3 linked regions of the Callithrix jacchus genome follow. The protein of the gene in region 2 purifies or fractionates together with the protein of the main gene of each other region. This does not show direct contact. Links are inferred from orthologs where the notes say so. Each region holds a gene or a part of one and is shown on either strand. Other genes may lie near its edges. The genes, in order: PGRMC1, DUSP9 and MAPK11.

Region 1 (5,597 bases), about 34 Mb from region 2:
TGCACAACTACATGAAGAGAATCCAGTGTACTTTAAACAATGTGTTATTTCCCCCAAGGCAGATTGAATAGCAGCCCTGACATTTAAAAGTTTGTAGGTAAACACTGTGCCAAATATGAGAATAGGTCAAGTTTCAATATGGCCTGGTCACCTGAAACCTCAATACACTCCGAAATTTTTACAAATTAAGTAAATTTTATGACTTTTAAATACAATTAAAATTCCAAAGAAAAATGCTTATTTTTAATCATCATTACATGCTGCCATATCCACTAGAAAAGATAAAAAAATTCCCACATTTTTCTTAAATGTATACCTCTAGTGGAAATGGCAGCACCTAGTACTTGAGAATAGCAAACGTAATGGTTTGAAGCTCACCATTTCAGAAATTATGGTCATTGGCTTGGTAGAGTGAGTCTTTACCAAGCAAACCTCACAGAATATTTAAACAAGGTCTAGTGGGAACATTAAAAGTCTTTAAAAAATACATATTATTCAGCTCAATGTATATTCACTAGGATGCAAGCAGAAATTTGTATCTGTTTTGCTCACTGCTATATTCCCATATCTACAACAGTATCTTGCACAGTTAACAGGCACTAGAATGACTGATTTTTAGGAATCCTTTACAACATGAAGCATCACTTCCTACCATGATGTCACGTAGTCATGGGCTCACTGAATGACAGTGCAAGATAGAGACAGAGATCTCACAATAGGCGATCTTTATTACTTTTCAGAGAGAAAACTAAGGCTCAGAGAGAACAATGCTTTAGACAACGTCACACAACTAGTAACGACCCAATCAGGACTAGAATGCAGGTTCCCTGACTCCTAGTTTTGTGCTCTTTGTGCAGGCTGACATTCCTCTCAATGACTCTGCAAACTACAGTCATGAAGATGCCTCATGTACATGTTTTCACTGCCTTACGGTTGTGTTTAATATTAACAGGTACTTACATGATTATGTTTATTGATAAAGCATCTATGTGTGCTACTCTAAGTGACAAATCATATGTGTGGTTTGGTTTTCAAATTATTCTGACAGTTACATGCCTACAGAAAGCAGGTATTCTAAAATATCCACAGGCCCAGTGTGGTGGCTCATGCCTGTAATTGCAGCACTTTGGGAGTTGAAGGTGGAAGGATCGCTTGAGCCCAGGAGTTTGAGACCAGCCTGGGCAACACAGCAGCAAGACCCCATCTCTAAAAAATAAATTTGTCTCTAAAAAAATAAATAAAATATCTGCAAGAGAAAAACTAAATGAGTGAGTTCCTTACCCTTAACACATCTTATTTTGATCAGTTGGACTGGGAGATTAACATGAATGCCCGAGTTTCACCTGTGTACTGCCTTCTGTACTCTTCCCTCTCTCAGGCCAGTGGGGAATGAGCACCGTTGATATGGACACCCTCTACACTCCCTGTCTTTAGAGTCCATATTGGAGGATCAAAAACCTCTTCTTCCTCCTCTCCAAGTATTCTATAAAGCAGGACTTTGCAAGCCTGGCTGCCTTTCAAATTTACCTGGGGAAGCATATTAAAATGCAGACTCCCGGACCATCCTGAGACTCATCTGCATGTCTAACTCATCTGCAGTTATACTGGGAATCTGCATTTTTCCTCAGATGCATCAGGTGATTGTGATACGCAACCAGGTTTGCAAAAACCTCACCTCTAAGGAACCCATCAGGCCTGCCTCCTCCGACAGCTCAGCAGTGCAGCAGTTATCCATTCTTCATTTCCCTCTGGTTGGCTTTTCCTGATTCCCCCCACCCAGCAGTCTTCATAGCTCTACTCCTTTTGTTTCTCGGTATCCTCCCACTTCTCCCTCCCTCCATTTTAATTTTTTTTTGGGGGGGGCTTCTAATCCTTTCTCTCCTCCTATAGACTAAATACCATACTACCTTAAAAGCTTGCCATGTTACCATTGCCCACCACGTTCAGCCTTTATTCCTCTCTCAAACAGTCCCCTTCCTCCTTGTTCACCTTCCAGCGTTTCCCCATCTGCCCACACACAGCACAAGCGCACACATACCAAACACATGCCACACACATACCTGACGCATGACACATTTCAAGTGCGTGTGCACACACACCATACACACACCCCTGATAAATCATACACTAAACACGCACACACCGCGCATGCACACTTCGCGAGTGCACACACACATCACTATCCACCAGGCACAATGCTTTTACCTGCGGTTAATCCTATCTCTGCGGTTTCTCTCACACACTCACATTCGGAATCTACTCCCGGCGGCATTGGCCTTCCAGTCTTCTCTAGCTCTGGACCTTCTCTCACTCTCGCCCTCTCCTCATCGCTCCTTTATTTCCCCTCCTAGAACCCGACACTACCCTCTCCTCCTTCCAGGAATCCTCAAGCCCAGCACCTTCGGAAACTCCCCCAACAGCCTTGGCTTTGATGTGCTCCCCCCACAACGCCTTCGAGCTTTGCGGTCCCACCCACCCCCAGCTTAAGCGCCTCAGCCTTCTTTCTCCAACCCCCTCCCAGCGCTGTCAGCGCGGGCCGGGGATCTGCGTCCCCGACTGGCCCGCAGCCCCTCTGGAGTGCCTCTTACCCCCTGCCAGCCCCGGGAGCCTCCCAGCTCTCCGATTGCCCGGCTTCCCTAGCTCGCCGCCATTCCTCCCTCCGCTCAGGGGCGCCCCGCTCCCGCCTCGCCTCTCTCCCGCCCAGCCCCGTGCCGGGGGGCCCCCTTCTTTTGTCTCCGCGGCCCCCTAGCTGGCCGACGTACCGGGCCCATAGAACTTGCGGCCTTTGGTCACGTCGAACACCTTGCCGTTGATGGCCATCAGTATGCGCGGGTCCTGGACGCCGTCGAAGCGCCGCAGCTCGGCAGGGGTGAAGTCGCGCCGCTTAAGGCGGGGCAGCGGGGGCGGCTCGTCGTCGTCGCTATCGCCGCTGGCCGCCGGCTGGTCCCCGCGCACGATCTTGTAGAGCAGGAAAATGCAGAGGCCAAGCAGCAGGAGGTTGAGCGGAGACGTGAAAATCTCGTGCAGCAGCCCGCCGTTCTCCAGCTCGCTCGGGTCGGCGCCGGTCGCTACCACATCCTCGGCAGCCATGATCTCTAGAGCAAAGGTTGGGCCGGGCTAGGCAGGGCTCCGGAACTCGCCGCTTTCTCCTCCCTCCGAGCGAGCGAGTGGCGCGCGAGGTTCGGCGGCCGCCTAAGACTAGCCGGGAGGAGGCAGGGCCGGAGGGGCGGAGCCTCCAAGCCCCGCCCACCCCCCGAGGCCACCTAAGCGCCCCGCCCTTCTCGGTTCCGCTGGGCCGCCCTCAGGTCCCCCACAAAGCCTCTGGAGTCCGGCGCCGCTGCTCCGCGGCTGCGCGGTGCTCCCTCAGTTCTACCTGGGAGGCCCCAGCCGAACCTCACGCCATTCTCCCGCCATCCTCTAGCTGAGCGCGACGTACGCGCTGCCCTCCTCGGCACCCCTTTTTTCCTCCTCGCAGACCGACCCGCTGGGAGAGCCTCTGCTTTGCCCGGCTCTGTGCGAGCGCCCCTCTGCCACCTGATGCGCTCCAGACACCGACTCCATTTCTCTTGCTGCAGGCTTTTCCCTGCTTCCATTCCACAGCCCCTCATCTTCCCCCGGCCGTTCCCGGGCCCTGGAAGCTGTCTTAGGAGACAGGAAACTCATTCTTGGAACTCCATTTTCTATCTCAGAGCCCTACATGACTCATTTTCACCTTGGAAACCCCCGTTCGCTCTCCTTGATGGCCCTTCCCCAATTCTCCCCCAGAAGCTGTGGGACCGACTCCCCGGGCATAGCTAAAGTCAGTGCAAATCTCTCCCTATTATCTGCGAAAACGAATCGGATCGCCCAGTTAACTTTGTGTTTGTTGTCCGAAAAACCCTTTTGCAATTATTGATTTGCTCAGTCACCAGGCATCAGCAAGCAACGTTCTCTTGTTGCTCTTTTTTTCCTCCTCAGAATAATGTGCAAAGTTTCTTTGTTTGGCAGCGTTCTTCTATTTGGACTCTGTCAGTCTACCTTTAACAGTCACAATAACCCTGAGCTGGAGCCCAGACAAAGGCGGGAATTTGTAAGGATCCTAGGCCTGGTCCCTTCCTTTCCTAGGTACTTCACCCGGCCTTTGATGTGCTAACAAGCTGCACAGAAGTTGGCCTCCAAGTAGGAAGGGGTTGCCTCGTCCTAATTTGGCCCTTCTTCTGGTGGCAGGGGGAGGGGAGCAGAAGAAAGGATAGAGAGGGAAACAAATAATTAAAACCAAGCCCTGCACACATCTGCCGCCCAGAGCAGTACTTTTCCACCAAGCGTTGTTGGCTTGCACATAATTTACTCCTCCTCCCAACACGCAAGACACTTGAGTAAAGAATGGCTTCTTACCTCAGAATTCTAAAAATTTCTGGCAAAAACTGCTTCCATCCCTGCCCCTCACATCTTCTTAAATCATTTTAAAGTGATAACAAACAACCTTTGTATCGGGCCCACGCATTTTTCTCAGAGCTAAATTTGGGATTCGCTGAAACAGCCCCTCCAGATCTTTTGTCAAAACCCTTCGATTTAATCACGGGATACAGGCTCAAACTGAGGGCCCCTGGCTGTAGTTAGAATCTATCTCTCTTAACATGTATGGCCAAAAAAATTAGAAAGCTAATACATTTATGAAAAATATTTTCATTTGCAACTAACATGACAGAAGGTTAATATTTCTTTGAGGGTTCATTTGGATTGATGAGAAAATCTACAAGATTCTAGTCAATAAATGGGCAAAAATAGAAACAGGTAGTTCACAAAAGAGAGCATGCCAGTGGTGAATAAGCATTTGAAAAATGTTCAGTCTCATTTGTAATAAAAAGAAAACATGGAGATGCCACTGTCACCTACTACTTTTCTGCAGGAAAGATAAAAGGGAAAAAAAGGATAACACAGTATTGGCAAGAGAGTGGTGAGACTCTCATACGCTGTTGGGTACAACCTTTTATTATTCATAAAAATATTTTCTATTCATTAATTCCACTTCTAGAAATCCGTTCTTTGGCCCAGTAATTCCATTTTTAGGAATCCATCCCAAGGAAGCAGAAATGTAGACAAAGATTTCTTTACTAAGATGCTCAGCAGAGATTCATTTTTAATACAGAAAAGCTGGAAATAACCTAAATGTCCGACTTCAAATAAAATGACTAATTAAAAGGCCATTCAAATATTATCATTGTGGAGTCCTAATTAGGGAAAGGGAATCAGGCTGGTGGGAGCATGAAATAGCAAAAAGAAAAAGAAAATAAGCTACAAATCTCCCTTTCTTCATGATCCATGACACAGCCTTTCTGCGTAAATAACTCACAACCTTCCCATGCCCAACTATCACCAGACACCTGTAAGTTAGGTCATCGCAACCTTGTCGTTTTCAATACTACACAAAGACCTCTTCAACAGACAGCATAAACACCATCCTATAAAATTTCCAGCAAGCCTTTGTCTCCTGGCAGTCGGCTTCTCTCTTGCAGGCTGCCTGTTGTCTCTCTGGCAACATATTTTCCTACTTTCTCTCATCAATCTACCTTCCTTTAACTAAAACTGTCTTGGTAAATTATTTTAATCCCGTGCCA
Region 2 (5,378 bases):
CTGGTCTGGCTAAAAGTCCCTTTTCTGCTTAAAGCCCAACAAAAGCAAATAACAGTGTTGAAGGAAAATGTACAATAGATAAGATAAAGCTCATACCCAACCAAAAGGTTAAGACCCCTGTAGATAAATGGGCAAAGAACCTGAAAACACTGCACACTGCAGGAAGGAGGGAATGCGGCGGCCTTACAAATATTTGGGGGAAGGTTCAAGCTCAGGCGTGGAAGGAAAGCAACTCCAAAAAACAAGTAACAATGACCAACGAGGTAACACTTTCCACCTTCTGTGCTAGAAATGTCCTCATGTTTGAGAACACCCAGTGCCGGCAAAATTGCTGTGAAATCAACGTGCTGTTCAACGGTTGCAGGGTATATATTGGCATAGCCCTTTTGGAAATTAATCTGGCAATATCAAGAGCTAGGAAAAAATCCCAACCCTTTGACCACTTTGGGGAATCTAAGGAACTAAAGTAAAAGAAATCAAAGTTACACACATTCTCTAAGGAGTGGAAAATGGAAAGCGCACTGCGAGTCCCACAGTGGGAATCATTACGGAGTCAGAGGAGCAAATGTCTGAGGTCACGGTTACGGAAGAGGGCAGGTGATGGAAAGCTGGGAGTGGGGTGGGTGAGTGTGAGGGGTGCCGTTCGAGGCCTAGATCTTCCCCACGGCCAGATGGAGATCTCTAAGGGGCTTCCAGTTTCCCCTCCCCCTCCCTTCTGGGCAGTGGGCTGCTAGCCGGGACTCCCAGGACCCTGGCACTGGGCTGCTGTCTGGCCACACCTCCATGTCCCTGTCTCTAAGATGAGTCCTAATTCCTGCATCCAGGGGCTTTGGGCAGCTGGACTGTGCCCTTCCTTCTCCTCTTGCCCAGTGGGCATGGGCCCCAGCCCAGGCCTCCCTCCTATGCCCCCTGCCCAGGTTCTGAGATTCTGCTTCTTTCTGTAGGTCCCCTCGTCCAGGCAGCCCTCCCAACTCGGAGCCAGTAGTCTCCCTCCTTTGTGCTCCCCAGTGTGGTCACTTTCCCCCTTTCTCAGTGTGTTCCTGGGGCAGGAACTTTGTCTTCTCCCTCCTCCTATCTCAGCCTAGTCCCACAGTGGTGGAGGTGTACACTGGTGCCCAGCCCGGGGGCTGCCTCCAGGCCCACTGCAGCTGTGGGTGGGAGCTCAGAGTGGCCAGGGGTTGAAGGCACCACCGAGGTTCTGCCATGTGCCAGTCTGGTTGTGGCTAGTAGGGGTGGCACAGGGCTGTGAGCAGCCGGGAGCTGGACAGCGGTGTTCCCCGCTCCTGTGCCTGGGGGCTCAGTCTGGCTGGAGAGGGAGCTCCTGAGGTGCTTAGGCCACTCTGGAGAGGGCTCCCTGGAGGTGAGAGGAGCTGGGCTAGGATGAGGATGAAGAGAGGCAGCCTCCGAAATGGTGAAGGGAGGGGAAGCCCGGGATCCAAGAGTCCCTGGCTCCCGACCGGGCGAGGGGCTCCCTGAACCTAACTGCGGAGCCGTGCTGGCAAGCCTTCCCATCCGGAGAAAGAATTTAGGAGGGGGCCATAAGGGGCTCATGAGGAGGCCATGAGGGGCTCAATCTCCAAAGTCAGAGCTGAGAGTTCAGGGCCCACAGCGCCCGCAGCGCCAGCAACAGGACAAACGGGAACCTGTTGCGGCCTCCGCACTGCAGGGCTGAGCGCAGCCAACCTCCTAACCCCCTCTAACGGCGACCCTCGCCTGACTGCCCCCACTCAGGCCCCCAGCAGCGCCAGCTCTGGGCGCCGCCGAGCCCCGCAGCCACTCCCGGGTGGGCCGTGCAGGGAGAGGCCGCGTCGCGCGCCCGGGCCTCTCCTGGCCCCCTCCGGCGGGCGGAGCCAGGCCGCGCGCTCGCTGCTCGTCGCAGGGTGGGCGCTGCGCCCGCCTACCCCGCCCCCGCCCCTGCCGGGCGCCCCGGGCCTCCGCCCGGCCGGGCCAGCGCCCCCTGGAGGCCGCGAGGAAGCCGCCGTCTGCAGGCCTCGCGCGTGCCGAGTGCGCCCTCTGGTCCCGGGGGCCTCCCGAGAGCGGCGCCGCGCCGCCTTCCCACCCCGAAATGCACCATTCCCGCCGGGCCGAGTGGCAGGATTTCGGCTGTCGCGGCCGGGTCACATGGCCAAGAGCACAAGTCCCAGAGACAGCGTGTCTGCCAAATCCAGTGTCTTTTCCATCAAATCCACTTTCTGCTGGGGATGGTCGGTCTCCTCGCGGGACTGGGAGTTCCTCCAAGGCAGGAACGTGTGTGTGCCCGGCCCCAAGCTGGCCCCAGCCCCCAGTGCAGGGCCTGGCACGCGCCCGGCGCTCGCGGAAGAAATGCTCGTTAACAAAGAAGGCATGAATGAATGAAACCAATTGTTGCCTGAGGGAGCTGCTCCTGCTTTTCCTTCTGCCGATTACACACTCCTCCCCCACCCCGACACGCATAAGCACACGTGCACATACAGCTCTCCCCGTAACACACACACAGGCCGGCACCCAGACAGCGCGCGCGGACTCCAGCCCGCATGGAACCCACCTACTACGGGCTGGTCGGGCAGCTGGCGCCCCTTTGGTCCCACCTGGGACGCCTCCATTTCAGCGGCGGGCGCTCTCTGCCTCCACCCCGCCCCTCCCCCCGGCCCCTTGCCTCCGCATCTAAGTACCCTACCTTGCACCCCAAGTGCCTTCTTTATCTCTTAGGGAAGAGGCCAAGTCAGTCGCTGGGGAGTCTCAAGGTCTGTTTAGGGAGGCACCTGGGGAGCCGAAGGCTGATGAGACGCTGCCGAAGGAGAGCCAGAGGTGCCTGGCAGGGATGCCACCAAATGCTGCAGCCTCTAGAGCCCGCGTGCCAGGTGTTGGGAGGGAGGGACTCAGAGATGTGCTGGGGGTGTCGAAGGCTATTTGTGATGGGGGCGGGGTAGGGTGCTGGAGAGCGTGAATCCAGCAGGTGTGCGCGCGTGCTGGGGCGGATGAGAGTGCGCGCTGGAGATGCTGGAGGTGTGTGCCTGGGACGTGGGGAGTATCGGCCGCTGGGATGTGGATTTGTGATGGGACCTCGCTCCCGGGTGGGTGGACTGCAGTGTCTCTGGGCTGGGCACCTGGGTGGGGTGTCTGTCATGGGATATGGGGAGTTCAAGGTGGCAAGAGCATGGTAGGGGGAGCTATGTTAGTGCAGGTATCGCAGAGATGTGTTGGAAGCGTGCGTGTGCGCCTGGGTGTGTACTGGGGCGTGGCAGGGTCTCGGTGGGTTGGCATGAGTTGGGGACAGTGGTGAGTAGTGGTACAGGGGATGCTAGTGTGTGCATTACAGGGACCCGGCTCTGTGATGCGTGGTTTGTGTGCGCGCGAGTGTGCAGCCGGTCTAAGTGGCAGTGGACACGGGAGGTGCACGGGAGGGGTGCACGGGTGTGCGGCGGCAGCACCCAATGGGTCTCCTAGGGGCGCGTGCGCCGGCTTCGTGGGGAGTGCCTTGTCAGGACTTTGGGGGTGTGGGGTGGAGGAGGGGGTGCACGTAGGGGGGGTCAGCCAGGCCGGGTGGGGTGGGGTGGGGGTCCCCAGGACGTCGTGTGCTCCACTCACCTCTGCTCCGCTCGGTTCTCTGAGCCTGTTCCCTGCGTCGCGGCCGGGAAGTTTCTGAAGCTCGGTCGGCGGGAAGCGCCACTGCTGCCGCCGAACGCCACCGGAACCCCGGGCGGCGGCCTTGCCAGGAGCTGAGGGGCAGCCGCCGGCGCTGCGGAGGGAAACTCCAAATCCCGCCCCCGCCGCCGCCGCCGCCGCCACCGCCTCCTCCGCCTCCGCCTCCTCCGCCTCCGCCACCGCCTCCTCCCCTCCCATCGCCGTCTTCTCCGCCCCCTGCCCAGGAGGGGCAATGTAGCTGGCGGCGCGCAGGGAGGGAGCGGGGAGGGGCCGCGGCCTTCCCGGCGTCTCCCTCCACCTCCCACGCCCCCGCCCGCCTTCCTCCCACCTGCAAGCTTCTGCCCTCTCCGCCCGTCCTGCACGACGCGCCCTGCGCTTCCCGGTCCCCAATGGTGCTACTGAGTGGGGACTTCGGAGCTTGGAGCGCCGGAGTGGGGTTGGGGGCCCTGAACTAGGCTGGGCCTGGGCTAGGGGGACGGTTGCTCCGCAGAATCTGCACTGGCACCCCAGCCAAGGGGCCCCCTGCAGTGTCTCCTCTTATTCTCATATGTCAGATTCTGGCTACTAGTAATAGCATTTGAGCCTCAGTGCCTGGAAGGGGTGGAGCCAGGATGTTGAGGGAGGGGCTGGGAGCAAGTAGGGAGCGGGTGTTGTCACCAGGTCCCGTTAGCTTTCTCCTTTGTACCACAGGTCACACCCATTGGCACCAAGGACCTCATTTTATCCTTACAGCAGTTCTGGAAGTCTGAGGAGATTGTCCCCATGTTACAGCCCGGGAAACTGAGGCCGTGGCTCCCTGGTGGTGGCACGATAGTGTAGTGGCAAAGTAGGATGGGGCTCGGGCTGGCTGAGTTCAGAAGCCTAGAGCCTGAACGAGCGTGAGTGCGGAAGATTGCATGGGGAGGGGAGGGGAGGCAGCCGTCCGAGGTGTGCACCTGGCCTTTCTGGGGCTCCCAGGCCAGCGGTGCATGAGCCTGGCCTCCTGCCTGCAGTGGAGGAGAGGTTGAGATCCAGCAGGAGGATATGAGCGCAGAATAAGGTGCGGCAGGGAGGGCTGGGGTGCCAGCAGCTCCACTGGCTGCCTGGCTGTGTCTGCGGCAGCGCTGAATTCCCCTGAGTCATTACCCCTGGAAGAGACAAGGGCAGCAGCTTTGCCTCTGGAGCCCAGTCCCTGCCCCATCTCTGGGTCTCCATTTCCTGGTCTGTACTTTTGGGGAGAGAGGTGGGATCATGTGATTTCCAAGGGCCCTCCTATCTGTGCAGTTTCAAGCCATGGTGAGTGAGCTGGGAGGGTCCTGCTGTTGCCAGCCAGGCCTGTCCGCCCTGCTCTGGGCCCGACTGCAGCAGAGTCCCTCCTGGAAGGAGGCCACTGGCCCTGCAACCCTGTCCCTGCTCTGGACTCTGGGCCTCGTGGGGCTGCACTGGGGCTCTCCCCTACAGCCTTGGGGGGCCAGGCTGCCCAGGACCTGCCACGAAGGCGAGCATATGCAGCCACCGCTGGTGCCTGTGCTGCTCGATGTGCTGAAGTTATGGGACCTTTCCTAAGAAATCCATATACCACAGAAGCTGTGCCCTAAAAACAGGGGGCTGGCTTTCACATTCCCCCCTCCACCGAGGGCGCCTCCTGTTTGGAGAGGACGTAGGACAGCTGTGCCCGTGGCCTGGGTGCTCAGCTGATCACCAAAGGCTTGGTGGGTGAGCTGACTCAGAGGAGTTTCTAGTAAGCTTGGGGTTGCCATGCTTTAGTGACTCAG
Region 3 (5,371 bases), on a different chromosome or scaffold from region 2:
GTCCCCGCACGTGGGGTCCACCTGCACCTGTCCTGCCTGCGTCCCTGTCTCCCAGACTCCTCAAGCTGCATGCCCAACCCCACTGCTGTGGCCACTGACCCTGGGCCTCCCAGTCCCATAGGTCCCCGTGGGCCCTCCTGCACCCCCAGCTCCTCCCCTTCTCTCCTCTGTGGGGTGCTTGTTCCACGCATTGCAAGTGTCAGTGCATCTGCCTGTCCCACCCCTGCCTGTTCCGTCCTGCAAAGCTCATGGCTGCACTCTCTCCTACAGGGACGAGGACCTGCTGGGCCCTCAGCCTGTCCCCTCCGTGTGGGCATCATCCTCCCATCGGTCTGGCTCCATCCTGGACCAGATGCTTCAGAGTGAAAAGCCCCACCCTGACACCCCTTCCCCAGCCCAGTGATCTGGGTCTCAGGAAGGATGGGGGGTGCACCCCTGGAACCCACTGGGTTGGTGGGTAACAAGTTCCCTAGGGCCCCCCGCCCGCCCTCCTGCCATGAATCAGCAGCTCAGCCGCTCAAGGGTGGGAGTAGCTTTACACCTGGGCTTCCGGCTGTCTGCGGCATTCACCAGCTGGTGACCAGTGAGCCGGGGTAGCCCGGGGCTACCCAAACCACAACTGGCTGTGGCCTGCAACCTTTGTGCCCTGGGCTGCCTGTGGCACTCCATCCACGTCTTCCAGGAAGCCCTGCTTCCACTGCTGTCCCCCTCACTCCTCATGGTGGGGCTCAGGGGTCCAGCAGGCCCCACACAGACCAGGCATCTGAGGTGGGGCTGTGTCCCCATTCTGCTCCCCCACACCCCAACACTGGACTTCCCCAGGACTGAACACTACACTGACTAGGCCCCAGGAGGCCCCCAACTCCCAGATGATTTCCACCCCCCATCCAAGACCCAGGCAAGGGGCACAGGCTGTCCCTGGCCCCCAGAGATGCTGCCTGACCCAGCATGGCCTGGACCCTCCCCCACAGTAAACTACCGTGTATAGTGGGAATGGGACTATCGCATACATCCCTCAGATTAAAGTGGGCTCTTTAATCTTCAACAGAAAGGAAAGGAAAGCTATTTTCCTTACCCTGCCCAGCCCCACCCCACCAGGGATGGGCAGACCCTTACTCCCTGAGACACCCAACTACTCCCCAGCCAGCCTCCCTGACCACTGTGGGGGGTGGGGTCTGGATCTTGGCCAGAAGCCAAGCCTGCCCAGTACATCCCCATAGGGCAGCTGGGGTCACCATCTGGGTGGCTGTCACACCCTATGCACAGAGCCCACCCATCAGCCATGTCTTCTCTTGGTCCCCCTGGGCTCTCAGACCCTCCGGGGAGCAGGGAGGGTGCCAGAAGATGGCTGCTTGTCTGACTGAGAGACTGAGGGATCTGGCCAGCTGGAGACAAGTGATGAAGGGTGACCCAGACACTTCCCCCACCCCCAGCAGCAGGGCCTGTAGTGGCCTTTGGATATGAGCCGAGCAAGAGAGAACCCCCTTTATTGTGCACCCCTGGTGCAGGCACTTGACACCCAGGCTTTCCTGGGCCCCTCAAGGCAAGAGGTCACCGCCTTTCCAGGGCAAAGCCACACTCCCAACTCAGCTCTGAGCAGGGTCCCATCTTCCAGGGTTATTGGATCAGCTCCATCCTGGGACAAGGAAAGAGGATGACTAACCCGCAGACCAGAGCACCTCCGATCTCTGGCTGCAGGGCCACACGGTGGGCAGAGGTAGAGAGTGGGCCAGGGTGCTGGGACAGGAGTGTCGGAATCCAAGTCCACATCTACGTGTTCGGCCTGCCTTAGAGTCCTCAAGGCTGAACCAACGCCCACCTCCAGCCTCAGGAACCTGCTATAGCTCCCACGTCCGAGGAAAAAGCCCCTACTGTGCTCACGTGGTTCACTGGAGCCTCTAGTCTGAATCCCAACATCCCTCAAGCATCAGGAACTGGGGGGAGGGAAGGCAGCAGCACACCCGCCCCAGCTCAGGGTTCTTGCCAGACATGGCTGCTGTCCCTTGGGTGCTCACGGATTCACATGCACCACATGTGCCCTGCCATGAACACAGGGAGTGCATGCCCATCCACGCGTGCCCACACCCATGGGTGAACACAAGGCTCCAGGCAGCTTTTCTTATTTGATACGTGATGGTTGTCACTGCCCAGCCTGGTGGCACACTGGCTCTGCCTCTCAAGACCTGTGGGTCTCAGCAGTGACCAGGGCAGTCCCCTACTTCTAGGCTGAGCATCTGTAGTGACTGAGACCTCTCCCTTTCAGTCTCCGGGGTTCCCGGCCCCAGTGCGCCCTCCAGAGCCCTGAGACAGAAGAGATCCCTTGGCTGACACTCCCCATGGGTCGGCCTAGGACAGACAGGGGAACTCCCCAGGGGAAGTCCTTTGGCATCCAGGACCCCACAGTCAGGTCCCAGTGGAGAGTGCAGTGGCCAGGAGGGGGCAGGAGGACCAAGGTAGGCCTAGGGACACTTGTGCCCAGACTCCTACACATGGCAAGCACATGTACAACATGTTTGTGCATGCATACGTGTGTGGATTCTCCTGAAGGCAAGGGGTCCTAGACCAGGAGTCAGTGACCATAGGAGTATGGGAGGCGCCTCTTGAGGAAACCAGATCAACTGTGGAAAGGTGCAGGCCCAGGCCCCTCCACAGGCTGTCAGAGGCTACCGGGCAGCACCTCACTGCTCAATCTCCAGGCTGCCAGGCGGCTTCGGTGGCTCTGGGGGCTTGAAGCTGAGGACTTCCTGGTAGGTGAGCTCTAGGAGGTGAAGGGAAAGGGTAAGCTTGTGCCTCCCACAGCCCAGCCTCCCACCTGCTTATCTGGCACCTGCCACCCGGCCCAGGCCCACCACACTATGACAGCAGCCTCAGCACAGAGTCTGGGAGCCAGAACCTGCCCTGTGCCACCCCGCAGCCTGTGCGGACACCTGCATGCCCTTCTGCCCCTGACCAGTCTGGAGAGGAACTGGAGTTCCTCTGGGAACTTCCTGCCTCTGGGGTAAGGCAGCCCGAAGGCCCCTGGACCCAACCCCAGCCACTGCCATGCCCACCCTTCCACTCCTCCACGGTGCGCTCCTTGGCCTCAACACTCTCGTCGTACGGCTCGGCCTCTGGCTCATCCTCAGGGTCATGGTACTGGCTGAAGTAGGCGTGGGCCAGCGCCTCTGCCGCACTGACCCTCTGGTCACTATCCAGCACCAGCATCCTTCCTAGGAGGTCTATGGCTGCAGGAGAGCCATTGGGGGTGGGGGTCAGCTCTACATCCAGGACCAGATATGGAGCCCAGTCTAGCCCCAGGGCAGTCCTCACCCAGGGGGTTGGCTCCGTGGAAGATGCTGCTCAGGTCCTTCTGGGGCATGGGGGGTAAGGACTGGATGTATGTCCGGGCCTGGGAGCAAACAACACCACCTGGGGAGGCTGCTCACTCTCTGCCTCCCTGGCCCCAAACTGGGGCTTCTCTCAGCAAGCCACTACACTCATTCACTCCAACGGGCCAGGACAAGGGCATAGGCAGACCAGTGAACCCCTCTGCGTAGAGCTGGTGGCTCTAGCTCCTCACTTAGCCCCTGATGCCTGCAGGAGCTGGTCACTCCTTGCCCCCAGCCCACCCCCACTGCCATGGCCAGGCACTGCTTGCTGGGATCATGGCTTAGCACCCACCGTCCCTGGTGTCAGGAATGTCTTTGCTGTTCTCCTGTTCCCCCTGCAGGGATTGGGCACCTGCCCTGGGCTCTATCCCACCACGTCCCATGTTCCCCACATTGTCCCTGCATTTCAATACTACCCTCTCCCCCAGAGAGCCTGGGGGCTCAACCAGCAGAGGGAGCTGCTGGCTGGCGGGCACCTACTCACGTGTTCCGAGGAGATCTTTGCCAGAACCTCCGGGCTGGGTGTGCCCACCACTTCCATGATGCGCTTCAGCTGGTCAATGTCTGCATCACTCAGGAAACACCCAGCGGCCAGCCGCGGACCTCTCCTAGGCCCTCAGACCCAAGATTTGGGGCACTGCCCAGAGCCCGCTCTCCTATAGCTGAGGATGGCCACCCCAAGGTAGCATGGCATGCGGGAGGGCAGAGGAGGCAAGACCCACCAGAAGGGGCCAGCACCAGCCCCTACCCTACAGGAGGGGCCCCGTTTGACCCTGCTCCCCAACCTGAGCCAAGGATACAGTCGCTTCCCGGGAAGAGGGCCTTGCCCTGGAGTAGCTCAGCCATGATGCAGCCCACAGACCAGATGTCCACTGTGTGAGGGCGGGGGGCCTCCGTCAGTGTGCCCACCCCACATCCCTCCTCCAGGAGACCCGAAGTCACATCCAGACCCCAAGACAGGTAGACCCCCTCCTCTGCCACATGCAGCCCTGGGCAGGGGGAGGCGACAGCTGCGGGGCCAGAAGGGTCCAGCACCCATCATGTTCTAGCAGCCTCTGAAGGGCTGCTTTTGAATGTGGGTCTCACATTTTTGGGGACCTTGCCTGCCCACCAAGAGTGAGCATGCAGGGCCAGGGCCTTTGGCCTCCGTCCCGGCCAGGCCTTCCCCCTGCACCTGTCTGGTTGTAATGCATCCAGTTGAGCATGATTTCAGGGGCCCGGTACCAGCGCGTGGCCACGTAGCCCGTCATCTCTTCGTCTGCCTGGCGGGCCAACCCGAAGTCCAGGATCTGGGGCGACCACAAGGTGTTTTCAAGCCCCGAACAGGCTCCGCCGCCACCCTGCCCACCCCTGCCCACAGGCCTCACCCTGAGCTCACAGTCCTCGTTCACAGCCACGTTGCTGGGCTTCAGGTCCTGCAGGTCACTACGAGCGTGAGCGTGAGGGCAGGAGGCCGGGGCAGAGCCCTGCCAGACCCAACCCTCACCCTGCGGCCGCACCTACCCGGTGGATGATCCCGGCCGAGTGGATGTACTGCGGGAGGGGGGTCGCGGTCAGCGCTGGGCCCAGCACGCCCGCCCCGCGCGTTGGAAACCCGCAAAGCCCAGGGCGCCCCACCTTCAGCCCGCGCAGCAGCTGGTAAACCAGGAACTGAACGTGCTCGTCGCTCAGCGCCTGGCACTTGACGATGTTGTTCAGGTCGGCGCCCATCAGGGTGGTCACCAAGTACCTGCGGAGGGGGGCCGTCAGGACAGGGCCCCACCGCCCCTCCGCGAACGCGCTCCCCAGGGCGCTGCCTCGCCCCGGCGCTCACACTTCGGTGAAGTCCTCGATGGACGTGGCCGGCGTGAAGACATCCAGAAGCCCAATGACCTGGGTGGCGCGGGGGACAGGGATCAGAACCCGGCGGCGAACCCCCGGCCGCCGTTCAGCACCCCGGGTCCCGCCCCTTCCCCGCCCCCACGGCCCGGGCTCACCCGCCCATTGGCTGCGCCGCGGCCCCG

Evidence for each region.
Region 1: the proteins of DUSP9 (region 2) and PGRMC1 purify together in Homo sapiens (affinity purification with mass spectrometry; 3 studies listed by BioGRID). This does not show direct contact. The link is inferred for Callithrix jacchus from reciprocal best matches to the Homo sapiens genes DUSP9 and PGRMC1.
Region 3: the proteins of DUSP9 (region 2) and MAPK11 purify together in Homo sapiens (affinity purification with mass spectrometry; 4 studies listed by BioGRID and IntAct, with this or other methods). This does not show direct contact. The link is inferred for Callithrix jacchus from reciprocal best matches to the Homo sapiens genes DUSP9 and MAPK11.

The regions. Positions count from the first base shown.
Region 1 is NC_133524.1:115,129,526-115,135,122, reverse strand, and holds the start of PGRMC1 (membrane-associated progesterone receptor component 1), read right to left. Parts: upstream 3,201-5,597; 5' UTR 3,091-3,200; coding exon 2,763-3,090; intron 1-2,762. UniProt on the Homo sapiens protein: Component of a progesterone-binding protein complex. Binds progesterone. Has many reported cellular functions (heme homeostasis, interaction with CYPs). Required for the maintenance of uterine histoarchitecture and normal female reproductive lifespan.
Region 2 is NC_133524.1:149,567,136-149,572,513, reverse strand, and holds the start of DUSP9 (dual specificity protein phosphatase 9), read right to left. Parts: upstream 3,743-5,378; 5' UTR 3,568-3,742; intron 2,861-3,567; exon of another isoform or gene 2,657-2,860; intron 1-2,656. UniProt on the Homo sapiens protein: Inactivates MAP kinases. Has a specificity for the ERK family.
Region 3 is NC_133502.1:218,841,725-218,847,095, forward strand, and holds the end of MAPK11 (mitogen-activated protein kinase 11), read right to left. Parts: intron 5,241-5,371; coding exon 5,182-5,240; intron 5,098-5,181; coding exon 4,986-5,097; intron 4,902-4,985; coding exon 4,872-4,901; intron 4,784-4,871; coding exon 4,736-4,783; intron 4,658-4,735; coding exon 4,543-4,657; intron 4,241-4,542; coding exon 4,169-4,240; intron 3,933-4,168; coding exon 3,853-3,932; intron 3,389-3,852; coding exon 3,310-3,388; intron 3,225-3,309; coding exon 3,051-3,224; intron 2,759-3,050; coding exon 2,679-2,758; 3' UTR 1,472-2,678; downstream 1-1,471. UniProt on the Homo sapiens protein: Serine/threonine kinase which acts as an essential component of the MAP kinase signal transduction pathway.